Drosophila melanogaster: one gene and its partners. The gene in region 1 interacts genetically with each later gene. Each region holds a gene or a part of one and is shown in the gene's direction. Other genes may lie near its edges. The genes, in order: Ced-12, drpr, Sos and mbc.

What was found.
Region 2: of Ced-12 (region 1) and drpr, changing one enhances a phenotype caused by changing the other (phenotypic enhancement), as found in Drosophila melanogaster (one study listed by BioGRID).
Region 3: of Ced-12 (region 1) and Sos, changing one suppresses a phenotype caused by changing the other (phenotypic suppression), as found in Drosophila melanogaster (one study listed by BioGRID).
Region 4: of Ced-12 (region 1) and mbc, changing one enhances a phenotype caused by changing the other (phenotypic enhancement), as found in Drosophila melanogaster (one study listed by BioGRID).

What each region holds. Positions count from the first base shown.
Region 1 is NT_033779.5:12,094,834-12,101,992, forward strand, and holds Ced-12 (Ced-12), read left to right. Parts: upstream 1-3,004; 5' UTR 3,005-3,117; coding exon 3,118-3,229; intron 3,230-3,522; coding exon 3,523-4,533; intron 4,534-4,593; coding exon 4,594-5,145; intron 5,146-5,208; coding exon 5,209-5,708; 3' UTR 5,709-6,006; downstream 6,007-7,159. Other genes in the region: Pex19 (peroxin 19), read left to right, coding at 1-179; CG6712 (uncharacterized protein), read right to left, coding at 403-1,587; Mt2 (methyltransferase 2), read left to right, coding at 1,753-1,813, 1,863-2,839; patsas, read right to left, coding at 6,415-6,606, 6,662-7,159.
Region 2 is NT_037436.4:1,726,877-1,733,649, reverse strand, and holds the start of drpr (draper), read left to right. Parts: upstream 1-2,542; 5' UTR 2,543-3,125; intron 3,126-6,773. Other genes in the region: Oseg4 (outer segment 4), read left to right, coding at 7-305, 361-2,061, 2,130-2,322. UniProt on the Drosophila melanogaster protein: Receptor which is involved in the phagocytosis of a variety of cells including apoptotic cells, severed and pruned axons, degenerating dendrites, salivary gland cells, germline cells and bacteria.
Region 3 is NT_033779.5:13,810,780-13,820,434, forward strand, and holds Sos (Son of sevenless), read left to right. Parts: upstream 1-3,036; 5' UTR 3,037-3,434; coding exon 3,435-4,526; intron 4,527-4,579; coding exon 4,580-4,937; intron 4,938-4,999; coding exon 5,000-5,922; intron 5,923-5,986; coding exon 5,987-6,835; intron 6,836-6,897; coding exon 6,898-7,788; intron 7,789-7,856; coding exon 7,857-8,490; intron 8,491-8,555; coding exon 8,556-8,599; 3' UTR 8,600-9,045; downstream 9,046-9,655. Other genes in the region: Adat1 (adenosine deaminase, tRNA-specific 1), read right to left, coding at 1-671; CG16865 (uncharacterized protein), read left to right, coding at 866-986, 1,047-1,207, 1,273-1,578, 1,700-1,855; CG16888 (uncharacterized protein), read right to left, coding at 1,946-2,455. UniProt on the Drosophila melanogaster protein: Promotes the exchange of Ras-bound GDP by GTP. Functions in signaling pathways initiated by the sevenless and epidermal growth factor receptor tyrosine kinases; implies a role for the ras pathway in neuronal development.
Region 4 is NT_033777.3:23,779,214-23,785,849, forward strand, and holds the start of mbc (myoblast city), read left to right. Parts: upstream 1-2,551; 5' UTR 2,552-3,126; coding exon 3,127-3,175; intron 3,176-6,636. Other genes in the region: Nup98-96 (nucleoporin 98-96kD), read right to left, coding at 1-1,611, 1,672-1,951.

The sequences.
Region 1 (7,159 bases):
ATTCGGCCGCCGTGAAGCGAGAGAAGTTCCGCGTCGTGCTGGACGACATGCGCAAACTGCAAGACTACGGCCAGCCGCCGCCAGAGATTCTGGCCGAGACGGGCGGCGACTTGCCCTTCGGCGATCCCACTGCCGGCGTAGCAGCCGGCGGTCCCGGTCCCCAGTGCCCAACCATGTAGTGGCTGACGGAGCACGATAGTCTCGTGGTGTGCCAATTGGTTAACTGTTGAGTGTTGCACATTTTTTAGGCTAAGGCAAATTTGTATTTTATTTTATCACCGACAAAACAATACGGCGGTCGCTAATGGTTATCACCTCTCTCTTCAATCAAGCTATTATTTTCGTATTAACTGTTGGTTTATTAAGTAGTTCTATACCTAAATACAATGCCTCGAAATACACCTAGAGGAAGAAGCGACGTCGCGACTCCATGGCGTGCCGTTTGTTGCTGATTATCCAGGCATAGTCACCGGTCTTGCTGTCGAATGTGCCCTCCTGCAGGGAACGTAGTTTCAGGGTGAACCGCGGCCCCAGTTCGCGCAGCTTTACGCGTTTTCCCTCTTTGGTGAACTCGTAGCGGTGGTGACGGAAGAATATGTAATCTCGCTGATTGTGGAACGTCACCGCTCGGCGGCCGCGGAACTCGGGATCGTGATGGAAGAGGGCACCCAGCATGCGGCCCACGGTCAGACCCAAACGTGTGGTAAAATTGTTCAGGATCACTTCGGGCCTGTGCTTGGTTATCTCCTTGTGATCGCGCTTTATGTCCGAGGTGAGCTTCACGTTGGACAGCTTGAAGTGGGCAGTGGGACCATTGGGCAGATGAATGACCAGCAGCCCATTGGGCTTTCTGCGATCTTCGTTAACGATCACGACGTCTGTGAACTCCTCGCGCTCGGCGCTTTTGCATATCTTCTTCACCGACGACTTGTTGCGAATCTTAACCAGGGCGTTGGGGAATATGCGCGAAAGCTCCAGTCCAAACTTACGCGTCTTGGTCACCGGATTGTCAGCAAAAGTGATCAGCACCTTTGGCTCGTACGAACGTTCGAAGTACGAGCTGAAATCGTCCAGTTGGAGTTCCTTTTGCAACTCCTCGTTGTCGGAATCGTTCAGATTGGCCACCTCTGTTTGGTCCTTCTCTCGCAGGCTCTCTATGGTGTGACCAGGATTGGCGGGTACACCAGCCTTCCGTCGGGCACGGCGCTCCTGCATTTTTTTCTTGTGCTTCTCCTTCTTCATTTTTTTGTACAACGCCAAACGCTGCTCCTTGTTGCGCATCCAGCTGAGGGGATTCAAAACAGGAATTCGTGTCTTCTTGTCGTCGTCGTCGTCATCATCCTCTTCTTCGTCGTCGTCGTCATTCTCCTCCTCATCGTCGTCATCATCCTCTTCCTTTAAATCCTCACTGGCTTCCCCTTGTTTGGCCGTTTTTTTGCTGCTGGAGGCGGCTTCTTCATCGCTGCTATCAGTGACTGGCCCCTCCTGGACTTCCAAATCCTGTGGCTCCTCCTCGTCAAAGCTGGAATCGCTGTCCGAGTCCTGTTCCACGGGCGGAGGGGCTGTTTTTCGCTTAATTTTTATCATTATTCCGAGAGAATCACGAATTCACAAAAATGCGAGCGGCACGTGTTGATATTCTTCTTCTTATACCAATCACACGGAAACGCAGACAATCTGCTGTGTGGGGCAGTGTTGGAAAACGTGCCACTCACAACGTGTAGTTTGTAAACAAAAATATATTTAATTAAAATGGTATTTCGGGTCTTAGAACTATTTAGTGGCATTGGCGGCATGCATTATGCCTTTAATTGTGAGTTCGTCGATCATGATACATGCGAAACTAATATATACTTTTGAAGATGCCCAATTGGATGGACAAATAGTTGCCGCCTTGGATGTCAACACCGTGGCCAATGCGGTTTATGCGCACAATTACGGCAGTAATTTGGTGAAAACTAGGAATATTCAAAGCCTGAGTGTAAAGGAAGTCACAAAGCTTCAGGCCAACATGCTGCTGATGTCCCCGCCATGTCAGCCCCACACTCGCCAGGGATTGCAAAGGGACACGGAAGACAAGCGATCGGATGCACTTACTCATCTGTGTGGACTGATCCCAGAGTGCCAGGAACTGGAGTACATACTCATGGAAAACGTCAAGGGTTTCGAGAGCTCACAGGCGCGAAATCAGTTTATTGAATCGCTGGAGCGGTCGGGATTCCATTGGCGGGAGTTTATTCTAACGCCAACGCAATTCAATGTGCCAAATACTCGATATCGCTACTATTGCATCGCCCGCAAGGGTGCAGACTTTCCATTTGCCGGTGGAAAGATCTGGGAAGAAATGCCGGGTGCTATAGCCCAGAATCAGGGTCTTTCACAAATTGCCGAGATTGTGGAGGAAAATGTATCACCCGATTTCCTGGTGCCCGACGATGTCTTGACCAAAAGAGTGCTGGTCATGGACATAATACATCCTGCTCAAAGTAGATCCATGTGCTTTACAAAGGGCTACACCCATTACACCGAGGGCACGGGCTCTGCATACACACCGCTTTCGGAGGACGAATCCCACCGCATCTTCGAGTTGGTCAAGGAAATTGACACAAGTAATCAGGATGCATCGAAGTCGGAGAAGATTTTGCAGCAACGCTTGGACCTGTTGCACCAGGTGAGACTGCGCTATTTCACGCCACGGGAAGTTGCTCGTCTAATGAGTTTTCCGGAGAATTTTGAATTTCCGCCAGAAACAACGAATCGACAAAAGTATCGACTGCTGGGAAATAGTATTAATGTAAAGGTTGTCGGTGAACTTATTAAATTGCTGACGATAAAATAAAACAAAATACAACATATTTGCTTGCTTATTTTCACTTTAATACATTTATTAGCTAGGAAATTACTCTGCGCTGTTATCATTAAAATATTTATTTCAAATCCACATAATTTTCCCGCCCAGTGTTGCCTATGCCACAAAACGCAACGGTTGTGTGCTGTGTGATATTCCATACTACTTGTCAATTGGTCACACTGCACTGAATTAAAAAAAAAAAGAATATAAGTTTACGCAGAAAAACAATAATAATTGCAATTATCGCTAATTGAAAGAGTGCCAAAATGATACCAAAAAAGACGACGGTTAAGGATTCACACATTGTGAAAATAGCCGTGGAGCGAGAGGACCATATAGCGCAGTTGATAAATCTGGATCAAAGGCATCCGCTGGCAAGTGAGTAAATAGCGGATAAAAACAAAGATTTTTCGCTTGCTGAGCAGCAGTTTTAAAGAGAATCTGCTTTAAACATGTAAAACAAAGTTCCAAGAAGTTAATAAACCAGAATTATGTTGAAAGTAGCAAAGGAACCCATCATAAGGGAGGAACTTCCAACCAACGCCCTTCGCTATGTTTAAGTGTTATCGTGATGTCAGCGCACTCATTTCCTCTTTCTCATTTATATGCAAATCATACAATTGGTCAGGAAGTTGCTATTTACAGCGTATTAATGCCGCCTTCGCTTGCAGGTAAAATCCAGGAAATTTGCAATGGTTGGTCCATCAGCGATCACCAGAACTATGCACTCCAGTTCTACGAGCCCACTAACCGAAAGTACGTGACCGAAAAGAATCGCAATGAGATCAAGAATGGCTCCGTACTGCAGCTGCAGTATTCGCCATCCAAGACTGCCTGCGATGCCATGGAGGTGCTGCTCAATGGCAGTCCACAGGAGAAGGCGCTGCGTCTAAAGGAGCTCACTTCCCTAAGCACCGATCACACATTTGCCCTGGAGTTCATCAAGGAGAAGGGTCTCGACACACTCATTAAGATGATTGAGGATGGCGGCCAGACCAACGAAGACATTCTGAAATACAGCCTGGCCAGCTTTGTGGAGCTGATGGAGCACGGCACGGTGTCCTGGGAGGTGCCGGAAAACTCATTCGTGGCCCGCAACATTGAGATCGTGCGAAACTTTCAGAAATATCCTACGAACTGTGGTGAGAGCGCCCTGTCCAACTTGGAGAACATTGTTATGTGCAGCAATAAACATGTGCTTGTTGCCGAGGACATCAAGCTGCAGGATATTCTCCGATTGCTTCAGGATGTCAATTCGCCGGTGATGCGACAAAATGCCATAGCCCTGCTGAACGCTCTGTTCGTCAAAGCAGACGAGGGCCGCCGCAGGACCATTGCTCAAACTATTAGTGCCAAGCAGTTCCGCCTGGCCCTTATCGGCAATGGACTGGGCACAGAGATGACCCACCAGCTGTACGTGCTGCAAACGTTGACTCTCGGCCTGTTGGAGAAGCGCATGCGTATGAAGATGAACGCGCAGGACCAGGACGCGCACGAGAAGATCAAGGAGCTGCGGCGCATTGCCTTCGACGATAATACCAACGCTTTGAATCAAAACGACGATCACATCCGTCGTGGCGGTGGCTCCGGAGCTGGCAATGTCAACTTCTCGCAGTACTACAAAAAGCTGGGCTTCAAGTGCGATATTAACCCTGCCCAGGATTTCATTGAGACGCCGCCGGGTAAGAATATGTTCTTATATTAAAGCTATTTTGGTTGATAATCCGAAACGTATTTCTCAGGTATATTAGCGTTGGATTGCATGGTGTATTTTGCACGCAACTACACGCAACAGTATGCGAAGATCGTCAGGGAGAACTCCTGCCGTGCGGATGAGCACGAGTGTCCCTTCGGACGCACCTCCATCGAATTGGTCAAGGTGCTATGTGACATCCTTCGCATCGGCGAGCCACCAGCCGAGCAATCCGGTGACTTTCAGCCCATGTTCTTTACGCACGATTCGCCGTTCGAGGAATTCTTTTGCATATGCGTCATTACGCTGAATCGCACATGGAAGGATATGCGTGCCACTGCCGAGGACTTCAGCACAACCTTCAGCGTGGTGCGGGAGCAGATCCAGCGCACTCTAAAGGGCAGACCCGAGAACCTGGACGATTTCCGAAACAAGATCGCTTTGTTGACCTATCAGCAGATCACAACACTGCGCCAGCAGGAGCGCACTTCGAAGGAGGAGTGTGATTCCACAGCTTCGGCGATTGTTAAGCTCAAAGAGAAGATATCACCGCAAATTCTTGAGCTAATCAAGCAGCAACGGCTCTCTTTTCTGGTGGAAGGTACAATTTCTAATAAATACATTTCAAGGGCAATCTTAACATGGATAAATCTTGCACTTATAGGTACACATTTTGCAAAATACTTGCGAGGCACTCGAACAAAGGACAAGTTCTGGTACGCTCGTCTTTCGCCGAATCACAAGGTGATTCATTACGGAGATTGCGACGAGAAGACAATACCCACCATGGAGGAGTTGCCCAAGAAACTGCCCATCAGTGAGATTAAGCAATTGCTAGAGGGCAAGGAATGCCCGCATATGAAGGAAACTCGCATTCGGAAATCGGCGGTAAACCTGGCCTTTTCCATCACCTTCGAAAACATGGAGCACTCTACGTTGGACTTTGTGGCACCCGACGAAAGCATATTCAACTACTGGACGGATGGAATAAACGCGCTGCTGGGTCAACCGATGGTCAGCAAGCAAAAGAACGAGGACTTCGACACTCTGCTGTCGATGGAGATCAAATTGCGCCTGCTGGACACGGAAGGTGTGGACATCAGCAAGGACCCACCGCCAATACCGGAGGATCCCGAAAACTATGATTTTTGCTTTGAGAGCTAAGCATAACGAGCACAATTACTTCACGAATTATTCGATTCATTCTAGACTCCCCCATCACCCAAGATACATGCCAAAGTGTACACACAACATAATCGTATTCTCCGATCTGATCTTCTACTAGTATTACTTGTGCAATTCCCCGAACACAAAATGAACAAACTGGTGACGGTCACGTCCAAGTGACTAACCGCTGCCTAGCCATTTAGTGAACTTTACACCATTTATGATTATAATAGGTATATAATATATAGAGATCATTAAATAACACATTTTATACATAACAATTTTGTACAAAAACTAACAAGAGAAGCGTATTCTTATCCAAGCCTAAAAGGTAATTAGTTAGTTAAAAAAAGCAAAAAGCACGGCTGGCCGATGCTTTGAACACCATTGCGGAAGGAATTGATTTGGAGCCGTTAACAATAATGGAATCTTAGCAATGTAATTTATTGATGCTCTGAATTGCACTTGGAATTTGCTATCGATTTGTCCTTCCGCAAGGATATGTTGATTGCAATTGTAAATGATAAAACACGCACTTGACGACCTTTGGTTCGAACTTTAAAGCATTCGAGTAAGCAGTAAGCCTGCGGAGCAAAACCAAACTGGCAGCCTACCCGAGTGGGTCTCTGGCTGCCTCCTCGCAACATTATCCACGCACGGGCAGCTTGCGCCGGCGAGCAGGGGCTCGATCCTAGATCCTTAATCAAATGTTATCCTCCAGCAGGAGATCGTTGTCATCGCCCCGGTCCGGCAGGCAGACAAAGAATTCGAGTAAATTCAGGATGGGACCACGCGAGAAGGGATTCTGATATCGTCCGCGTTTGTCCCGCAAGTAAGGATAACGCTTGTAGTTAAACATCTCGTTTGTGGTGAGATTCATGCAGGCGTGCAGGATCTGCCAGTGCAAATGATGTCAAAACGATTAATATTTTTGGAAAAGAAGCACTTACCGAAGTGCATGTGAGTATCCAACCCAAGCCGCAGAACACAACCGCCTCGATGAGTCCCAGCACATAGAGCATCGTGAAGCCCTCGATCATCACGCAATAGCAGGCAAAGTAGATGGTGAACGAGCAGTTGACGGCCACCGAGAGGACGAACAGGAAGAACCACATTCTGTTCCTCAGTCCCACGCAGTTGTAGATAAAGGGACAGTGGTGGTCAAAGTACGAGACACACCGGTTGCACACGCGGCAGTGTTTGGCTCGCAGCGGCCGGAGGCACCTGCAGCTGTGACATAGTCGGGTTAGCATCACATTTCGCTTCTTCAGTTTGTCGAAGTACGGAATCTGCTTGATGGCCCGGTAGTAGGCATCCGAACTGAGTGGTATATACCCCGGATCCCGGCGATTGGCAATGGCCCAGCTTATCCACATTACGGCGTTCCAGTATATAAAGCAATAGTGCGAGCGTCTCAATATGTTCCACGTAATGGGAATCGCACGGAT
Region 2 (6,773 bases), on another chromosome or scaffold:
CTTCAGAGTGCCTCCACCCTGCACAATGTGAAGGCGCGCAAGGAGAAGCGGTTCCATATCGACGACACGCCCACGGGAGTGGAAATGGCCAAGGACCTGATGCTGAGCAGTAGCAGTGGCGATGGTCACTCCACGCAGCGGGGAATCAGTGATCCCATCTGTGCGCTGGCACTCTCCGAGAAGCTGCTCCTTGTCGCCAGGGAATCCGGCGCTATCAACGAGTACAGCATAGCAAACGTGGCTCTGAGGAACCGCCACCTGATGAACGCCAAGGTCTACAAGATGGCTATCAACTGCAATTCCACGTGGGTAGTCCACCACACTCCCTTGATACTAGTAATATTTATACTCCTTACTTAGACGAGCCGCCATTATCGACCATATGGGCGTGATGACCCTGCTCGACCTGGACGACAACAGGGAGACCCAACTGAACTTCAGTCGGGTGGAGCGCAAGGACGTTTGGGCCGTGAGCTGGGCCACGGATAACCCACTGCTGCTGGCTCTGATGGAGAAAACGCGCATGTATATCTTCCGGGGCAATGATCCCGAGGAGCCCGTGTCCTGCTCCGGCTACATATGCACCTTCGAGGACTTGGAGATCACCAGTGTCCTGCTGGACGACATAATCAGCGTGGGTGAGCTGCAGAATTTTTCGCATATCATTCAGCTGAGGGTAAAGTCCCTGCGCGATACCGACGATCTACTGGAGCACGTGGGACTGGAGGATGCCAAGCAGTTCATTGAGGACAACCCGCATCCGAGGCTCTGGCGACTGCTGGCGGAGTCTGCGTTGAAGAAACTGGAACTGGAGACGGCGGAGAACGCCTTTGTCCGTTGTGCCCACTACCCGGGCATTAAGTTGGTCAAGAGACTGCGCACCATACACTCCAAGGAGCTGCAGAGGGCGGAGATATCAGCCTTCTACGGAGAGTTCGAGGAGGCGGAGAAGCTCTACCTGGACGCGGATCGTCGCGATCTGGCCATAGAGCTGCGCATGACCCTTTGCGATTGGTTTCGCGTGGTGCAGCTGTACAGAATGGGAGGATCGGGAGTGTCGGACCAGCAGATGGAGATCGCTTGGCGGGAGATTGGCCACCACTTCGCCAACCTGCGCTCCTGGGAGAGTGCCAGGGAATACTACGAGAAGTCCCACTACCTGGAGGGTTACATGGAGGCTCTGTACCACTTGGAGCAGTTCGACGACTTGGAAAAGTGCGTGGAACGGCTACCGGAGAAGAGCCCGCTGCTTCCGAAGCTGGCCGAGATGCTGGCCTCCGTGGGCATGTGCTCCGAGGCTGTTCAAGCCCATCTTCGATTCGGCGACCAGAAGGCCGCCGTCGCCACCTGCGTTAATCTCCGGCAGTGGGGCGAGGCTGTTGAGCTGGCCCAGAGGTTCCAGCTGCCCCAGGTGCAAACGCTCATAGCCAAGCACGCGGCACAGTTGCTCCAGGAGGGACGCCTCAAGGAAGCCATCGAGATGCAGCGGAATGCTGGGCGTCATCTAGATGCAGCTCGCCTGCTTTCTCAAATGGCGGAACGGGAGCAAGAGAAGCGTGCTCCGCTGCTGAGAATCAAGAAGCTGTACGTGCTGGCTGCTCTGCTGGCCGAGGAGCACCTCAAGGCTGTGGCCACGACGGAGATCGACTACGCCAGCGGCAGGAACACCCTACTGGACTCCATTGCCCTGGAGGATGCGGCCGCCATCGAGAGGCTTTGGCACTGCGCCGAGGCCTACCACTTCATGCTCCTAGCCCAGAGGCAGCTTCGCTTCGGGATCGTCCACAGTGCGGTGGTCACTGCGGTGAGGCTGCGCGACTACGAGGACGTCCTGCCTCCAGAGCACATCTACAGCCTGTTGGCACTGGCCAGCTGTGCGGATCGGGCCTTCGGAACCTGCTCCAAGGCTTTCATGAAGTTGGAGCAACAGGCTCATCTTCCCGAGGCTACCCTTCAACGGTACGAGGAGTTGGCGGCTGGGATCTTCGCCAAGTACGATCCGGAGGACACCACTGGCGATAGGGTGGATTGCTATTCCTGCGGAGTGCCCGTGCCAGATAGGTAAGTGAAGGGTCGACGTCAGAAGCTGGATTATAATGATGATACTCATGGAATGCCGATCCTTTCAGCTCCCCCTCCTGCCCCGAGTGCAATGCTCGCTTCCCGGCGTGCATCTCCTCCGGGAAACCCATCACCCAGCCGACGAACAACATATGGATCTGTACCACCTGCCACCACTGCGCAGCTCCCACCGAGATCTCCAGGCACCGAACTTGCCCACTGTGCCACAGTTTGATCGTGTCCATGACGGTGGAGATCTGAAATGAGCGGGGACTAGTGTTTTAATTACTCCAGCTGTTTTTCATTCTGCTTATCCCAGGTGGTACAGGCGTATCTACTCCGCAAATAAACAATGTAGTTTTAAGATAGAATTCAAATTTATTTTCAAGTGAAAAGTGTTATAAGTGGAAAGAGTGACTGTTCACAGTGAGTATTTCCTGGGGAGTGCGCTAGGGCCACACTACTAGCTCATCCAACACTCGCAAAGCGGTCACACTGGCGAGTGCAGCTAAGTAAGTCGGTTGTCCGTTTCTTGCTGAATTTTAAATAAGTTAAATAAATTTCTGCTTCGTGCGGTGGTGTGCGTACGCAAATATAAAATAAAGTAAATAGTAATTGCGGTGCTTGCGAAAACCAAACGAGCTCCAATTGACCGACGAAAATACTTAAGTGCATTAAAGAATTGCGTTGTTGTGCGTCGCGCCCGTTTGTCCTTATTGTTGTCGTTAGTGGAGTGCACGAAAAGTAATTGTTTTTATTTAAAGAGGTTGCATTTTAATTGCTAAATCAGCTCAGTTGCGAGTAGAGTGCCAAAATAGAGAGTAGCGACAACGAAAACAAGTTTTTGTGGATGGTGAGAAAGTAAAAACAATAGCAAATTTATATATATAGCTATATATATATGTGGTAAGGTGCTGTAAGCATTTAAAAATACAAATCCTCTCGAGGTTTTAATGGCCAAAGTTTCGTAAACGTGTAAATTGAGTGGAATTCGATTGCGAGTGCATTCTTGGTTTGTTTTGAGTGAGAACCGAAAACCAGTTTACACCGTGCTTCTTGCCAAGGTGAGTTTTAACCCCAATCGTGGCAGTTTAACGTTAATTTTAGTCATTGTTATGTTGTTAAAAATAAGTTTTCTTCTGTTAAATGTGCAATTTCGCCTGGTTAGCTTTGTCAGCTCTCTTTCCCTTCCACCTTTCTTCTTTCCCAACGAGCGGTTTGTTTATGACCGCAGTAGTGCACTTGTGTGCGTGTCAATTAGCGCTTTTATCGGGCGCACACCAAGAACAGTTAAACCTGTTCTGGTTTCTCTTTCGCACAATTTAATGGCCTTTCTTTGGCTTTAGTTTTGCGCTTTCGTCGACTTCTTCTTCTTTGTATCTCATGCATGTATCTTTATATCTGTCATTCGGGGAATTGGCAGCAAATCGGCAAACTTCTCTTTCATCGACCCCCTGCGACCAGCACCTCGCTCCCTGGAAACCCGCATCTTGTGGATTCTTTCCAGTTTCCAGATTGCTGCTGAAGCTTCCAGCTGTCACAGCCGCAACAACAACAACGCCAACGGATCAAATGAAAACCCAGCCAGCATAAACTCACACACATCGAAATTGCCTAACTAACGCACACATTAAAATACAGTCGATGCATCGTCACGAAAATAAATAACAATAATAGCCGTTTATAATTTAGATCAAGTCGCAAAAAATTTTTTTGCGTTTAATTCTTTATGAGTACTGATTAAGGTATCAGTTCAGCGATATTTCATATTACTTCTGAATATGGGGGTGCACACAAATTAAGATATATGTAGAAACCGTTCTTATTTTTTATAGAATTCATTAAATAAGTATGGAATAAACTGCGATCATATTTCCCATACAAAGCATTTTTATTTTTCACACAGTTTCCTTAACCAAGCGATTTTAAGCTTAACCTTATATTTCTGACACTGGCAATGGAACTTGATTTTTATTATCATACGTGATTTAATGAACAATGACGCCTGCTTAGGACACGAGCTTCGAAATGCAATGCACAGCGAAAAGTCCCACAAGCCATTGCAAAATTAAAAACTGAAATGGCACTCAGAGGTGCACTCTCCCCACCCTCGGTATCATATCATATCATACCATGCCGTACATGTCACAATGTCTGTTTAGGTTCCTTTATGGAGCCGGGCTTTGTCGTCGCCATGATTACTCAGCTTTATTGATAATGCTGGGTGGAGGAGTGGCAGGGAGTGGCTGGGATGAAACCTCCTGGGATTTCTTGTCCAATGTGGCGGTGGTTAGAGAGCAACCCATGAGTCGGGATGTTAGTTTTCCCCTTATGATTACGACATTCTCTGTTCTCTATCTTTTCGCTTTGGGTTTGCATTATCCAACATTTTTCTTTGCTTTCTCCGTATTGTTGCAAGTGCATTTCGCTTTTGCTGATGATTATGCTTAATTCTTGTTCGTCTGTCTGCATTGCAATGTGTGGGTGCCTTTCCACTAGAATAATATACACATGTTTTCTTGGTTTTCAGCTGAAATCGGTTCTCTTCGCTGAATCAATCGAGAAAGCTTCTAGCTCTATCCAAATTCGGGCTAGAAATCCGAGCTTCGCCCGCTAATTGGCCAATACAAACTGAGGTGTTGAGTGTTTGGCTCACTTGTGAAATGAATACGAAACAGCTGAAATCACTGTTTCTCACTGATACTTCATAATGGCAGCTAACATCCATCCCAAAATAATAACGTTTGAGAACCCTTTGCCTCTTTGCTTTAATTAAACTGTTCACTGAAAGTTTTGATTGGCCTAGCATTTACGTAGTTCACAAATGTAAGACCCTAGACCTCGTGCAAACTGATATTCTTTCAATAATTTCATTTCCTGGGCCAGAACAACTTGTTTTTATACCAAATCTATTTCTTGCCATTGAAATCGTTTATTATTCTTAATAATCGTTTTTGCCAAATGTGCTTTGTCGCCTCGCCAAGGCGTTAAATTGCCCACTGAACGCCAAACATATGCGTTGCGGTTATTGGAGATGTGTATTGTGGATTCAGTAAACTCGACTTTGATTTCGCTATCCAAAGTACAGCTCAAGTGAGGGCTCCTCCTTTGTAGAATAATTCTGTTTATATAAAGCGGGAAGCGACAATCTTTGTTTAGCCTTTATCAAGTGCGCAGTACTTGAAGTTGGGGGAATAGCTGGCTCATTTTCCCCCTATGCTTAAGATTATAGTAATCCAAGTCAAATCCAGATGTTTACATATGCACTGTGCTGAATCAATTGAAAATACATCACAAAATATATACACACAACTTGAAGAATATAAGACCTACTCTTAGCTCTGATGGAGGTTTAATTGGAACGAAAATAGGCAATGCTTATACTTTATAAAATACATATCATTCTAATTGAATGAAATAGACGAATGCCATTGAGTTTTTTTAACAACAAAGCTTTCTCCTTAGTCCGAAAGTATTTCGCAGATTTTCTTTGGTTTGTTTTTGTTTTGTTTTTTTCTTTCGAAAGCTTTCATCGAAAATCAGGAAATTAGTCATATATAAGTACCTACATATGTATACATTATAGACAGATTGCCAGCGGAAACGGACTCGCAACTTACTTCTAATCAATCTTCTATTACCTTTGCTAACATTTTATGGTTCTCCCTCAACTTTTCGTTGACCCCTTCCGATTAAGAACCACTATCAGTGTGCCTCATCGTGTTGTTTCTGCTTGTCCAATACTGGGCGCAGATAAGGGCGAGGTATGATAAATATGAGGTGTGCCAAAAGTACACACATATTGGGAAAGGTCTGAAATACAAACCTGCGAATTGAGCGGTAGATTGACCCGAAGTTCGAGCCTTAGCCAGACTTTTGTGAATGAAATCCGAGTGACTCAGCATTGGAACAGATGCTGGGTATGCGGTATCGATGAATGGTGCATGGATTCGATACTCGATAAAACAAACTGTGCCGAACACGTTTTCCATTGAAAAATCTCGCACACTCGCCTATTATACATACAACTAACAGATCCGTATAGTTTATAGACTATAGTCTAGCATTGTTTAACCTAAGGTGACTCATCCACGACATATTCATTTAGCTCATTAAAACACCAATCAGGCATGTAAACAAATAAGTAAATTGCAAATGTAAGCTCGTTGTCTCGTGCAAGTTCGCATTTTAATATGATCTACATATGCGGAAGGGAAGATTGAGTGGCAAAATGAAACTTAATGGCAATGGGTTAGAGTAACACCCTAGTTTATGGTTAATATTTTTGATTCCAAAGGTTTATACTTTGTTTGAAAAACGTGGACTCTGCTAATCGTTAAAATGAAAGATTTAGCATTCAAATTGCAAATTAAATTAGACCGGATTGTTTGGTTCACACGATTTCGTTGTCCATCGTAAATTTGTATGATGTTACGGGATGATTTGGTATTATTCTATTAGTCTTTGTCCATGACCGGATTACGCACCTTCCGTTCCGTGGATCTGCTTATATATAGAGAGACTGAATTAGTCACCTACAACAGAACAAATATCAGTGAACCTCATCGCTGTTGTAATGGATGAGAATGACTGCGGCGGTCTTATCATCCACCCTTATCACTTGTAAAATCTTGAGCAAAGTCGAGGGGTATGCCAAATGGTTATCTCTTTCTACTTTAGGTTATATTGCCCCAGTTGTATATTATCGTTTC
Region 3 (9,655 bases), 1.7 Mb from region 1:
CAAAAGTTCAGGCTGCTAAAGTAGATGGGTTTGGAGATCAATACATCCAGTAGTGCCCCCTGCACGCCTATGACATTCCATCGCGCTATCTTATCACTGCAGGACATGGATAGAGTGCGCTCTCCACGTCCGGGCTTCGTTCGCAGAGCTCCTGGCGTCTGCAACATTGGATCATCGCTAAGGTCACTTATTAGTTTGGCACCCGTATAGACCATCTCGGAATCCTCATCCAGCCGCTGGCGTTTGGCCCGCGCCGCTGGTTGCTCTTCCTCAAGGATGCAGGCATCCCCACAAGGCGTTTGTGTGCTCAGAAAGTGGAACTCCACGTGCTCATCCATGTCGTACGTACTTAGCGTGCTGTTCCAATGAAAGATTCTATCCTGCTTGAGCTCCTGGTATAGAAAGCGAAGAAATCCACGACGTGCCAGCACCTCGGCATGGGAATCATTCAGGATGAGGCCATTGGGACAAAGTTTGGATTCTCCAATGCACTTTGTTCCGCATCCAAGCGAAACTAGTTGACATGCTTCCGTGTTCCGGTTGAACTCCACGATTCCCGCCAAAATTGTCCATTGATTGGCTGTGGGCTTTCCTGTTTTTGGCAAGGACTCGAATTTTTTTAAACAAAGTTCCGCAATTTCCTTAACAGTCGGTTTTTTGTTATCACACATTTTTGTTTATATTCGCAAATGTGCGAACCGATAAGTTCGGTAATCGAATAGCAATATCGATTGGCGTGTTGCATTGTTTACCTTTTGCTTGCACACTCTGGTCTCACTGTTTATTTATTTACTTGCGGTGTTTAATGAAATAGGAAATTACTTTAATTTTATAAGTTTCATAAGTCCGAAACCCACAAATAACCATGCCCAAAGTAGTGTCGCGCAGTATCGTCTGCTCCGATACCAAGGATCAGGAGGAGTACAACGAGGAAAAGCCGCTAAACATTTACTACTGTCTGTGCAACAAGATGGCTCTGATTCTGGGTAAGATTACTGGAGCCAACTAACTGAAAGCATAGTACATCATGTTTGCCTATCCTACAGATTGCACCCTCGAACAGTTGCCGCTACGAGAGGTGGACAACGCCCGTGTGATAAACGCCAACGACCATGCCAACAAACTCACCCACAATCCCACACCGAGGATGGTCTACATCAAACGCAAGAGCAGGGGCAATGGGATCGAGAAGCAGTACCGCTACAAGGTGAGTAGCTGACTTCCACTCCTTACCCGTCATTAGTTCACCTAATGTTTTCCTTTAACCTTCAGTGCCGAAGCTGCAGTCTGCCGCTTTACTATCGCCACAGTCCCGACTCCCACGTAACCTTCGTCATGTCCAATGCCCTAATCCGCAACAAGGGTGAGAGTCCTCTCACACAGCTGCTGAATTCGGAGATCAAGGGCAGTTTCAAGGCACCGGCTGCCAAGCCAGCGACTTCCGCCGGTCCAGACGATTCGGGTATTGTGGATGCCAGTGGCAAGAAGGTCGTCGTCACCAGACACACGAAGAACATGGGCAAGTTCAGCTCGGTCACGGTGTCTACCATCGACGAGGAGGAGGATGAAATCGAGGCGGTAAGTTTGTCAGCTAAAGTTGGTTTGTAAATGGTGCAGGAAATCCAATCTATCATTGCATCATCTACGAACAAACCTACAACTCTTTCAAACTAACCATTTTTTTTGTTCATTCAAACAGCGCGAGATCGCAGACAGCTATGCGAACAACGCAAGGATTATCGAGAAGCAACTGCAGCGCAAAGGCGGAAAATTGAGCGATGTGGGCATCAAAACCAAGACAGAGGACGCACCTCCGCCGCAGAAGAAGCAGCGCGGCACGCTACTGGAAAGATAGTCACACTCTGCCTCCTTATTACCCACAACTAAATATATTTGACGACACAAATGGCTGGCATTCTTGGAAGAAAAATTGCAATTTATCTAGTTATAGCATACGCAAATAGTTTGACCTTCTATGCTGTCGTTTTGGCAGCAAACTGGGATGCTGTGCCAGTAGCTTCTTCAGTCGCTGCTCGGCGTGCTGGTGATTGAGAATCGAGTCCTTGACAAGCCCACAACTGGGACATAGATTGTACTCCGACTTTGACTTTTTGACGATCGCTGGACGCACGCGAGTCTCCATGATCAGCTTCATTCGATTCGTGGTACGCGGCGAGTTGTGCAGAGCAGTGAGTGGACGGCACTTACTTCTTGGCGAGGATTCGGTCCGTTCCAAAGCAGCCTTCTCCTTGCTCCTGACCAGCTCGAGTGCACGATTCGCTCGGGCTTTGGCCAGCTGCAATTCGAGAGGCGCCTTTGGCAGGTTAAAAAAGAAGTGGGTCCACTTATCGCGCAACTGTTCGATGGCCTCCGAGTTGAATAGTGAGCTGGAACGATTGGAGGTATGGGGTCCCCATTCCGCGTTCCCGATGCAACTCAATCTATAAGCGGACATTGAAACCTGAAGTATTATACACTGAAAATTTGACAACAAAGTAAAAGTGTACATATATGTGTATATGTATACTATATACCGTATAGTTATGGTTTTTGGATGGATTGTTTTTCAAATATATAATTATACGAGGGTATAGAAGCTTCGACTTCTGGAAGCTAGCTCCCTAACTGTTTTTGGTTTTTGTATTCTGTTGCATTGCATTGCTTTCATATGTTTAATTGTTTCAACTGAACACATTGTACTTGTTTTCGATTTAGAAGCGTTGAAAGCGGATGTATCTTACATTATCCAAGTAAAATAAGGGATGAGTCGATATGTATGTTGCATATCTCCTTACGATTTTAGATAAGGAAAGACATTTTATAAATATAAATATAAATTTCTTGAAATATAAACATTGAAGAGATAATTAAATTCATTTTTTTTGGGTAAATTATAATATATTTTAAACCTGCTCGTTGCAATTTAAATTCAAAATGCTTCTTCTTCTGCTAAAAAAGCCATTCAACACGAATGCTCTCTACATTGGATTTTTTAGTACATTCTTAAGCATCGAATCAGGGCTGGTCGCGAGCATTTACTGGATTTAGGCAGTGCCGCACTCTGGTCACACCGCGAAAAATATTATATTGAGTTGAAGATTATATTATACATATATATATCGAAGATACATATTCTGAAAACAAGTGCTGAAGCCCAAGCGATTTGCAAACGAAACGGACGCGCGAGCCCCGTTCAAGATTCGAAACGAGTTCAGTGCGTGCGCTTGAGTGTGTGTGACTGCCATGCGACGTTCGCCCGGGTGATCCGGCTGTGCCAGGTGCCCCACGGTTCCAGGTTTCCAGTTTCCAGGTTCCGCTCCACTCCACTCGTCGCTGGATTCAGTGCACAACACAGCGGGCGGGGAGGCGGAGGGCAGGCGGCCAACGAAGGTGCTCCACGGCAGGCTCTCGTCGGCTACTCCACGGCGCACAGAATGTTCTCGGGGCCCAGCGGCCATGCCCACACCATTAGCTACGGGGGCGGGATCGGTCTGGGCACTGGAGGCGGCGGCGGCAGCGGTGGTAGTGGTAGTGGCTCACAGGGCGGAGGCGGTGGTATTGGCATTGGCGGCGGTGGCGTGGCTGGGCTGCAGGATTGCGATGGCTATGACTTCACCAAGTGCGAGAATGCTGCGAGATGGAGGGGCTTGTTTACGCCATCGCTAAAGAAGGTGCTGGAGCAAGTGCATCCACGGGTTACCGCCAAGGAGGACGCACTGCTGTATGTGGAGAAACTCTGTCTGCGGCTTCTGGCCATGCTGTGCGCCAAGCCGCTGCCCCATTCCGTGCAGGATGTGGAGGAGAAGGTGAACAAGTCCTTTCCAGCGCCCATCGATCAGTGGGCCCTGAACGAGGCCAAGGAGGTGATCAACTCGAAGAAACGCAAGTCTGTCCTGCCCACGGAAAAGGTGCACACGCTGCTCCAGAAGGATGTGTTGCAGTACAAGATCGATAGCTCCGTGTCCGCCTTCCTGGTGGCCGTGCTCGAGTACATCTCAGCGGACATACTCAAAATGGCCGGCGACTATGTGATCAAGATCGCCCACTGCGAGATCACCAAGGAGGACATCGAGGTGGTGATGAACGCCGATCGTGTGCTAATGGACATGCTCAACCAGAGCGAAGCCCACATCCTGCCCAGTCCCCTGTCACTTCCCGCGCAGCGTGCAAGTGCCACCTACGAGGAGACGGTCAAGGAGCTGATCCACGACGAGAAGCAGTACCAACGCGACCTGCACATGATCATACGCGTCTTTCGTGAGGAGCTGGTGAAGATCGTGTCCGATCCGCGCGAGCTGGAACCGATATTCTCCAACATAATGGACATTTACGAGGTGACGGTCACTCTGCTCGGCTCCCTGGAGGACGTCATCGAGATGTCCCAGGAGCAGAGTGCCCCCTGCGTCGGTAGCTGCTTTGAGGAACTGGCCGAGGCCGAGGAGTTCGATGTGTACAAGAAGTACGCCTACGACGTTACCTCGCAGGCCTCACGGGATGCTCTCAACAATCTCCTGTCTAAGCCAGGGGTAAGTATTGATACCTTCTGTGCGAAGAATTCTACTAAAATCCCTGCTTTTAGGCCTCATCTCTGACCACAGCCGGCCATGGCTTCCGCGATGCGGTCAAATACTATTTGCCCAAGCTGCTTCTGGTGCCCATTTGCCATGCCTTCGTGTATTTCGACTACATCAAGCATCTCAAGGATCTCAGCTCTTCGCAGGACGACATCGAGAGCTTCGAACAGGTACAGGGACTGTTGCATCCACTCCACTGCGATCTCGAAAAGGTAATGGCCAGCCTGTCCAAGGAGCGACAAGTTCCGGTTAGCGGTCGAGTGCGCCGCCAGCTGGCAATCGAGCGGACACGGGAGCTCCAAATGAAGGTGGAGCACTGGGAGGACAAGGACGTGGGCCAGAATTGCAATGAATTTATTCGCGGTAAGTGCTGGCAACGAAAGTTACTTGCATCCTCCAACTAAAATGGTATTTCAAATTTACAGAGGATTCGCTGAGCAAACTTGGATCGGGAAAACGAATCTGGAGCGAGCGCAAGGTATTCCTCTTCGACGGGCTAATGGTGCTATGCAAGGCAAACACCAAGAAACAAACACCATCGGCAGGAGCAACGGCCTACGACTACCGACTGAAGGAGAAGTATTTCATGCGACGCGTGGATATCAACGATCGACCGGACAGCGATGATCTGAAGAACAGTTTTGAGTTGGCACCCCGGATGCAGCCGCCCATTGTGCTGACCGCCAAGAATGCACAGCACAAGCACGACTGGATGGCAGACCTGCTGATGGTTATCACCAAGTCGATGCTGGACCGGCACTTGGACAGCATATTGCAAGACATCGAGCGAAAGCATCCGCTGCGGATGCCCAGTCCGGAGATTTACAAGTTCGCGGTGCCGGACAGCGGTGACAATATCGTGTTGGAGGAGCGCGAAAGCGCAGGAGTGCCGATGATCAAGGGAGCGACGCTTTGCAAGCTAATCGAGCGCCTCACCTATCACATCTACGCCGATCCGACTTTTGTGCGCACCTTCCTCACCACATATCGCTACTTCTGCTCGCCGCAGCAATTGCTGCAACTGCTGGTGGAACGCTTTAACATACCGGATCCCAGCCTGGTCTATCAAGACACGGGCACAGCAGGTGCGGGTGGAATGGGCGGCGTTGGCGGTGACAAGGAGCACAAGAACTCGCATCGCGAGGACTGGAAACGATATCGCAAGGAGTACGTGCAGCCAGTGCAGTTTCGAGTGCTCAACGTACTGCGCCATTGGGTCGACCATCATTTTTACGATTTCGAGAAGGATCCCATGTTGCTGGAGAAGCTGCTGAACTTTCTGGAGCACGTGAATGGCAAATCGATGCGCAAGTGGGTGGATTCCGTGCTTAAGATTGTTCAGAGAAAGGTGAGTAGTTGGTCAACAGCATAATGTGGAAGTATCGTTATCATTTTTCAAATATTATTTACAGAACGAGCAGGAGAAAAGCAATAAAAAGATTGTATACGCCTATGGCCACGATCCGCCGCCCATTGAGCATCACCTTAGTGTACCCAACGACGAGATAACGCTCCTCACCCTGCACCCACTGGAACTGGCCCGTCAGCTCACTCTACTGGAATTCGAGATGTACAAGAATGTAAAGCCGTCTGAGTTGGTCGGATCACCCTGGACGAAAAAGGACAAGGAGGTGAAGAGCCCTAATCTACTGAAGATAATGAAGCACACCACGAACGTCACCCGCTGGATTGAAAAATCCATCACCGAAGCGGAGAACTACGAGGAACGCCTGGCTATTATGCAACGCGCAATCGAAGTGATGATGGTGATGCTGGAATTGAACAATTTTAATGGAATCCTCTCGATTGTCGCGGCTATGGGCACGGCATCTGTTTATCGACTGCGGTGGACATTCCAGGGATTGCCCGAACGCTACAGAAAATTCTTGGAGGAATGCCGCGAGCTCAGCGACGATCATCTCAAAAAGTATCAGGAGCGATTGCGATCCATCAATCCGCCTTGTGTGCCATTTTTCGGTCGCTACTTGACCAACATACTCCACTTGGAGGAGGGTAACCCCGACCTGCTAGCCAACACAGAGCTAATTAACTTTTCCAAACGACGGAAAGTGGCCGAGATTATTGGCGAGATTCAACAGTACCAGAACCAGCCATACTGCCTCAACGAGGAGTCCACAATACGACAGTTCTTCGAGCAACTGGATCCGTTTAACGGACTGTCCGACAAACAGATGTCCGACTATCTCTATAACGAAAGCCTGCGCATTGAGCCAAGGGGCTGCAAGACAGTGCCGAAATTCGTAAGTATAATGCTTCAAAGTTTACAAGTCATATAGGAAATTTAACCATTTTCCTTTCGTAGCCTCGAAAATGGCCGCACATTCCGCTCAAATCGCCGGGCATCAAGCCGCGTCGCCAGAATCAGACCAACAGCAGTAGCAAGCTGTCGAACAGCACGTCGTCCGTGGCGGCGGCAGCGGCAGCATCGTCAACGGCCACCTCAATAGCTACGGCATCGGCGCCATCTTTGCACGCCTCCAGCATAATGGATGCGCCAACAGCAGCAGCAGCTAATGCTGGATCTGGAACTCTCGCTGGCGAGCAAAGTCCGCAGCACAATCCGCACGCTTTCTCCGTTTTCGCCCCTGTTATTATACCCGAACGGAACACCAGCAGCTGGAGTGGAACGCCACAGCACACTCGAACGGACCAGAACAACGGGGAGGTTTCGGTGCCGGCGCCACATCTCCCCAAGAAACCGGGCGCGCATGTCTGGGCTAACAACAACTCGACACTGGCCAGTGCGTCGGCAATGGATGTTGTGTTCAGTCCAGCGCTGCCGGAGCATCTGCCACCGCAGTCCCTGCCGGACAGCAATCCATTCGCATCGGACACGGAAGCTCCACCGTCGCCGCTGCCCAAGCTAGTGGTCAGTCCGCGTCACGAAACCGGCAATCGATCACCATTCCATGGGCGCATGCAGAACAGCCCAACGCATAGCACTGCCAGTACCGTGACCCTTACAGGCATGTCTACATCGGGCGGGGAGGAATTCTGCGCGGGTGGATTCTACTTTAACAGTGCCCATCAGGGACAGCCGGGGGCAGTGCCCATCTCGCCGCATGTCAACGTTCCGATGGCCACCAATATGGAGTACCGAGCAGTGCCGCCTCCACTGCCACCCAGACGCAAGGAGCGCACTGAGAGCTGTGCGGACATGGCGCAAAAGCGTCAGGCGCCAGACGCACCCACAGTAAGTAGCCTCACTTACTTCTAATTTGTAGTAGCAGATGACAGCAATCATTTTACGTATCCTTGCAGTTACCCCCGCGTGATGGCGAACTCAGTCCGCCGCCGATACCGCCACGGCTCAACCATTCCACGGGCATCAGCTACTTGCGACAAAGCCACGGCAAGAGCAAGGAGTTTGTGGGCAACAGCAGTCTGCTCCTGCCCAACACCAGCAGTATTATGATACGCCGCAACTCGGCGATCGAGAAGCGGGCAGCGGCAACTAGCCAGCCAAACCAGGCGGCGGCGGGACCCATCAGCACGACACTAGTGACCGTGTCGCAGGCAGTGGCGACGGACGAACCGCTGCCGCTACCGATCTCGCCAGCGGCAAGCTCCTCGACGACCACATCACCGCTGACACCCGCCATGTCGCCCATGTCTCCCAACATTCCCAGCCATCCGGTGGAGAGCACGTCGAGCAGCTATGCCCACCAACTGCGAATGCGGCAGCAGCAGCAGCAGCAGACGCATCCAGCGATCTACTCGCAGCACCATCAACATCATGCCACCCATCTGCCGCACCATCCGCACCAGCACCATTCGAATCCGACGCAGTCGCGCTCGTCCCCCAAGGAGTTCTTTCCGATTGCCACGAGCCTCGAGGGCACACCCAAACTTCCACCAAAACCTAGTCTAAGCGCTAACTTCTATAACAATCCAGGTGAGTGCTACCAACTCGGCCCGTGATAACGTGTTTCCTAACCCAACCATCCTATCCGTTTGCAGATAAAGGTACGATGTTTCTTTACCCAAGTACAAACGAAGAATAATTTAAATTGCCTGGCGATGTGATAAGGACGAAAACTACGAGTATGATCCGTAAGATTCAAAGTTGCGAGCACTGCTTGAGTGCAGATATATATATGAGAGAACGGAACGTGAGATATATATATATATATATACATATATACGTAGGCGCAGTTTATGTATTCTAGTATGAAACGAGTTGGAACCGCTGATTTAGATTATTCGCCACTCATTTAACAAGGTAGAACAGACAGACAGACAAAATACGCTCTCATTTACACACAACAGGCACGCGCATATGGATAGGAATGCAGGACACACAAACCAAGCAAGCAACCAAGCAACCAACAAGAAATGCAAACAAGAAATTATGTTATTATATAATTACTATTATAAATATTTGTAAATATCGAGAACATTGTATTGATCGTAGAACGTAAAACAATAAAGTATAACCCTATTGTTAGACACTTGGCGACATCTTTCGATGACCAGAAATATAGAGTATTGTAGCCAAAGTCAAGGCAATCTGAGCAAATAGCATAGATTATCAAGGCTTTTCCAACGTTTAAAGATCGTGGGTATTCTTTATGTGCCCAGTGGCCTTGATGAAGTCGACGTGAACCGACATCCGACTGCAACACACCTGACATTCTCGCAGTGTCCAGCATAATCGCAGCCATTATTAAGATTGTGTATATGGCTAATTAGTTTCGGTGGGTTAGGAAAAACTAGAGCGATTGTTGTCTCACTGCATTAGGTGCAATTAAATTGGACACACACATTCGCTTATTGGAAACAACGCGGATTGACTTTCGCTTTTCTAAAACGTCATGAACGTCGAGCACAAATGCTTCCTGAAATTTTGGGCTGCTCGCCGCTGGGAACCGGTTGTTGTTTTTTTGAATTATTTTCGTATATTTGTATATTCGTATTTTCACGCTCGTGTCCAGCCCCTTATCGTCAGTTATTTGGGGGAGTTATGTGTGTGCAGCAGCCACCGTCCCCAAAAAGCGATGTGTCACCTGATGGCGCAGCGATTTGGATCCTCGGTGAAGTACCAGCGGTTACCAGGGTGA
Region 4 (6,636 bases), on another chromosome or scaffold:
CAGCAGGATTTGTAGCTCTTGTTGCATCTGCTTCACTGCTTAGCTTTAGATCCTTGAAAATCGGAGAGTCTCCGTAGGGAGAAGTTACCCTAGCTAGGATCTGCTGATGAATGGGCTGGTGTGAAGGCGTCATGATACCCAGTGTGGGCTGAGCTCCCATAATACCACCAGTTAACGAGTTGTTTGTACCCATACCGAAGCCTCCTCCGCCCAAGGAACCACCGACACCTCCGAAACTGGTAGTTCCTCCTCCAAACAGTCCTCCCGTTGGGGCAGCACCCGTGCCACCCAAGGTTGTAGTACCTCCTCCAAAAAGACCTCCTCCCGGCTTGGCTGTATTTCCGAAAAGTGATCCGCCCGTGTTGCCTGCGTTGAAATTAAGTGGTGCTGCGCTGGTGGCTCCAAAACCTCCGAATCCGGACGTTGCTGGCTTGTTCAATCCCGAGTTAAAAAGGCCTCCTCCCGTTGCTGCTGTACTGGTGTTCAGGCCAAAATTTGAAAACGGAGTGCTAGCCGTGGAGGTTGCGCCGAAAGTTGGAGCAGCAAAGCTAGTGGCGGGCTTGTTTCCGAAAAGGCCTCCGCCGGCGGTGCTTGTTGCTGGAGCTCCAAATCCAAAACCTGTCGTGGCTGCTGATGCAGCCGTTCCCAACCCAAAGGCTGATTTATTTGGATCGGCGGCTGGTGTGGCACCAAAAAGAGTTGACTGTTGCGTTGCTCCGGCTGTGGTTCCAAAGCCTCCGAATCCTGTGTTAGTCTGTCCGAAAGCAGGAGCCGCACTGGTAGCAGGTGCCTGACCAAAGAGGCTTCCTCCCTGTCCAAAAGCAGGCTTCGCCCCAAATGGATTTGAAGCGTCAGCTGCGGGAGCGGCAAACGGAGTGGTGGTGGTGGCTCCAAAGGGCTTTTGCAGAAAGTTGTTTTGCTGGGTTGCTGCTCCGAATGCATTGTTAGTCGCCGGTTGTTGGCCAAAAGCGGTGGTGCCAAACATGCTCTTATTCTCGGTCACAGTTTGGCCAAACAGACCTGTGCTTGGTTGGGCAGTGCTTCCAAACAGGCCACCACTTGCAGGCTGAGCGGGCTGAGTAACCTGAGCTCCAAATCCAAAAGCTCCCGGAGCATTCCCAGCCTGTGGACCCTTGCGCCCGCACATATAGTCTTCCAGGCGGAGCTCCTCCAGAGATTTGCCCTCGAACTCCTTCATAGCCGTGATGCAGTGCTGCTTAGTGTTCACACTATTTGCCTGACCGCTCTTCATCAGGGTATCTGTACCAATGGTTGGCTGGTACTTGGCCACGGCCGTGCCCGTATTGACTCCGGAAGCTCCCACGGCCGTAGCCTGAGGTTGGGCAAAGGCGGAGGCGGTGCCACTGCCAAAAACATTGGTGGTTGTAGGCGCCGACGTCCCAAAGCCTCCGAATCCTGTTGTACTGGTGGCGGCAGCCGGTTGGCCAAACAAAGAGCCCGTGGGCTGAGCAGCAGCTGTTTGCCCAAAGGCCGTCATAGTCGGCTTGGCGGCTCCAAAGGCGGGTAGCGTCGATTGTCCAAAGAGGGAGGTGCTTGCCGCCGTCTGGGTGGATCCAAATATGTTCGAGGTCTGTTGCGGCTGCGAGAAGGCTGCAAAGAAGAAATTACTAAATTAGTAACATGATACCACTTCAAATGATCGTGTCTAACCTCCAAAAGCCGTGGGCTGAGCTGTGGCAGTGCTTCCAAATCCCGTGGACGTGTTTGCCCCGAATAAGCCTCCGGCGGGCTGAGCTGGTGTGGCTGCCGCACCGAACAGTGACTGCTGCGCGGGTTGGGCGGCAAAGGTGGAGGTGTTTCCAAAGGCCGGTGCGGCGGGTTTGCCAAATGCCGACTGGCCAAACGGAGTGGTTGTTGTGGTGCCGCTGAATCCGCCAAAGCTGGTGGCCGCCGGAGTGGCTCCGAAGCTGGGTTTCGCGCCGCCAAACATTTTGCTCGCTGCTGCTGCTCAGATAACAAACATATACTAGGTAGATCCCCTGCTTTGTCCTTCGCCGGAATGCCAACTATCGCGATGAGCAATGCTTCGATTTCACCACGTTGGGCAAGCTGGGGCGGCTGCGCCGGATGCGAAGGTTGTGGGACCGGACAGGCTTAGCTTAAAACAAATAAACACTCGCGAATTTGTCAAGTCAGCAGGAGTCGACCGAGTCTGACGCAAAAAGTGGACAGAAATGGCGCGCCGATTTTTTCACGATGTTGAAGAAAATGCAGCCAAAAGTGTGACCAAGGCGTGAAATCGCATGCAAAAATACACTGTAAAAAAGCAGGATACAACTGCCAGGCGCATAACTATTGACCATAACTTATTTATGGTCTTAATAAAATTTTTGCTTGGTGCCTCCGAAGCAAATTTACTATGAATGTGTGGAAAATGTATTTTATAACTTGGGTTTCTCGTATTTTGTAGGTAAGCTCGATTTTCACATTTTTATGTGACCGTACTGCGAACAAAGTGAAAACCCATTTGACATCAACGGTGTGAACACGCTGTAAGGGGCACTCTATATTTGATATTTTCGATTGGGAACAGTACGGTACTTCTGGGCATCGAGCACGCTCATTCACAACAAACAGTTGAAACGCGCGGGTTGTTTTCCGAGAGCGGTTATTTAATTAATTGGCAACTGTCACACACGAGTGTGTGTGCGATCGAGTGCGTGTACATGTGATAATTAGCTGAGCGGCAGCGGCCAACTCCCAGCCCAAATACAAGTCGAGAACAAAACGAGCGAAAAACGGCGCAAAATGCATTTGCGGAGCGACAATTTGTGCGGAATGCTAGCTTTTGTGCAATAATTATTTATTGGTTGCAATTGTCCAACCGGTGTGCTTTTCGTCGAAATCTGTAGCGAAATCGGAGGCGAAATGCTTGTGTTGGCGGCATTGTGAAAACGAAATCAAAATTTCAACTACGTGTTGCTCTTTTGCCGTTGCCTAATTTAATGTCTTGTTGTTTTTATTTTCGCAAACGAAAGTCCATCGCTTTGCATGTGTGAGTAGCGATCGTTTGTCGCCGTGTTGGTGGTAAAAGTCGGCGCAAAAACAACAATATCAGCAACAACACTAGTAGAAGCAACAACAACGAGAAGAAAAGCCTTCAAGATGAGTGTGTGGAGCGACTGCAATGCCAAGCAGGCAGAATTCGGCATTGGTAAGTTGGCAATGCGGCTATTAAGCCGATAAATTAGGTAGAATATGGCTAGGCAGGAATGTTTAAACAAAGTGCTTTGTAAACAACAATAAAGGAAAACTTTATGAACTGTTGGGCGCTCTTTTCCAGAGCACACCTCATCTCCACCCCCACCTCTCTCTCTAACTCTCTCTCTTATTTCACCGCATGTGTGTGCCTCCTGCTGCGTTGCTACGGTAAAACTTGTTGCACCTTCTCGCTTGCACACGCTCACTCGGCTGCTGTTGATCCTCCCTTTCCCGCTCTCACTGTGTTGTTTCGTTTTTCATTTCATTTCATCCTGCTCAGTCAACACTAGCATAAAATTCTGAGATTTGCTCTTGAAACTAAAACCTGTTTTCTATTGTCTCTCTCGCTTTTCATACTGTCTCTGTCTCTCACGTGCAACTGCAACACACTGCCAGAAAAAAGGCCTGGTACACATAAAGAAATTTTATACAATTAATGTAATTTTACATAAACTTAAATCTGAAGTACTACAACATTAGTACTACAACTTTTACGTATTTACGGGTGTGGGATTTGAAACCTGGTCTTTGTAAACCCAAGGCAAGCTGCATCAAGCTGACAGTAGAAATGTTTATTTTCTGTGTACACTGTGAGACAAATCCCAATTCAATGGCAGTGACCATGAAATATCTAATCGCGACCCGCTTCGAATGCGTGTGAATTTTTTATGGATCTCGTTTTGTTGACCTTTTCACCGCTGATCAATAGATACGACAGGTACATAAAGTACAGGTACCTCTAGTCCCAGGTAGATCGAGTGGAACTGGGAATCTCGTTCGTTAACACTCGAATGGAGCTTGCCGGTGTGTTTGCACTTGTTATTTACACACGTTTGCCTCTGCCTCTGCCCTTTTTTGTGTTTGCGCGTTTACTAGCTGTCGAAATCGCTGCGAGTACGAGTATCTGATAGTACCATTGGGGCGTGGCCAGGTGGACGGGGGTAGTGGGTGGTGAGCGGTGGTTGGTGGTATAATGTAATTAAGCGCGATAATATTTGGAATATGGGGCGGCAGATAAGTTAGTCGTTGGCATTGAGTAGCGAATTTGGCCTTTGTAATGCGAAAACGACTTACAGCATATACGAAATTCAAAAGAAACTCCTTATCAATAGCAGTTTGATGTATTCTTGTCTTATCGCTGTTTTCCATTCTGTTTGCATACCTTTTGTTTGCTTCAATTTTCAAATTCTAAGCAAACAGCCGGTTGCCCCACATTTTGTAAAAATTTTTTAAGCCAAAAGATTTGCTTGGCAGCTCATCCATTTTGCGTATTATTTTCGAAATATTGTAGTTTCTCGAAGGCAATAGCCATTGAGTAATCGCTTTATCACTTTATGGGCCCCATTCGAGTTATCGTTTATCGATGTGTGCCTGTGCTTGTGGGTGGCACTCAGCTGAATTGAATTCCGTTGAAGTGCGAGTGAGTGAGCGAGTTAAAGTTAAGTCCTCGGCCTCCTGCATAGCGGTAGTCACTCGCATATAAAAGATCTGGTGCATACATACATATTTTTCGTATGCTGTTCCCACTCACTCCTTTGGATGAGAATGCTGCATCTCCCTGCTCACTCACCTCCATGCACAGTGGGATGATTCCTGAAATTTACCTGAAATATATATAAAAGTAAACCAAGCGAATAGCCACAAAATGAAGGGATGTTTACTCATAAAAGCTAATTAACTTCCATCAAAAAGGCTTTTCAAATTTACAATTAACAAAACCATATATTTAGGTAACTAGTATAAACTAGCATAATTTGATCAGCTTAGTAATAATTGTTTTAATCCAAAACGTCCACTTAGTTATTCTAATTGCCCCACTGTGCCGCATATGCTTTTGAAAGTTTGCCTGCGGTGACATCTTCACTTCATTGCTGCACTACTCCACTGTTCATTGCCTCTAGTTGGTGTGCACCTGCAGGGCTCCCCATTTCCACCCAGACACTCGGTTTTATTTACCCACTCCACGCAGATGCATTCTACATTTAAATTTGAATAGCAAAAACAACAACCGCGGTAATAATAAATACAACAACATCAAATGGAGGGAAGAGCTCACAAAGTAAACGTAAAACTTAATGATGCCTGAGAGTAGTGAAAAGTGTAGTGGAAACCCATGCCGAAAGAATATATATACAGAGGGGATGGGATGGGTTGGTATGGAATAGAAGGGGGCCTAGTTGATTTGGTTTCTGATTTCAGAGTCTGGCTTTTCTCAATTTAATTAAAATTTTCCACTCCGTTAGAGTTTAAGATGCATGAAACGCCTTTTGATTTGCATAATTTCAAAGGAAAGCATTTTTCCTAGTCCATTTCCACACACAACAAGTGAAAACTTAATCAGATTTGGAAGCGAGCCGAAAAAAGATCTGCTCATATTTCTAACCTAATAAAGTTGGGTTACCATTAAATTGTATCTACTAGATTCAAAAAGTCAAGGATTTTGTAACTGTGTTACTTATAAACAAAATATAGAACTTAGCAACTAACCCTGTAATCGGCTGCCATCTTTAATGTCTCTGCCTTTTGTAATTTTGAAGATAATGTTGCTTAACCGAATAAGAGTCCCCCGATTCGTCTTATCACGTGGCAGATGCCCTTCCTTCGGGGCGGCTGCATAATTGTTTGCTCTGCTGACTCAGATCGGGGAACACTCATCCCCGGACTTTACCCTCACACATGTACACATGCACCATCCTCCATCAACTTCGGATAGTTGAGCAACCGCCCAAGTGACTCGCACATCCACTTGTGATTCTGATTTCAGTTGGATCGTCACCCCAGGAACCCTCCACTATCAGAATACACTCCCCCTTGGCAAGCGAATCTCCACTTTCCATTTCGCAATCAAAATGGAAACTCAATCGCTTCCCCCATTCCAAGTCGCAACTATTCATTCCACCCCGTTTCGAAGATTGCCAATGTCGAAGATTGTCGCATCTTTGGTTTCCCTTCTATGCTAATTGACCAACTGCAATCTTCGATTGCTCTCGGAAATTGCTTAATTAAACATAAATTGCCTGCCGCAAAGAGCAGTTATGGAGATCGAATCCGATCAGGGAAAGTGAGCGGGGAAGCGAAAAGGGGGGCAGGGGGAGGTGGCCGCATCATTGGGGCACAGTGCGTCATCCGGTGTAAGTTGAAACTGGTTTCAGCCGCTCGAGAAATGTGAGCTAATGTTACAAAGGTTACCAGGTTCCATTGAAAAATTTTTCACAGGAGGTTTTAGACTTTTGATCGCATAAGGTAGTCATTAAAAATATGTTTTAAAAACATAAACAGAGCAGCTTTCTGTTTAGGAGAAAATATTTTGCTTATATTTTTGTATTTCATAGCATTTATCTTTATGCATTTTTTTCTTTCGTTAGTTCTAAGAAAAACCCAAATATATATAATTTTAAAAAGAAGCATTCGTTT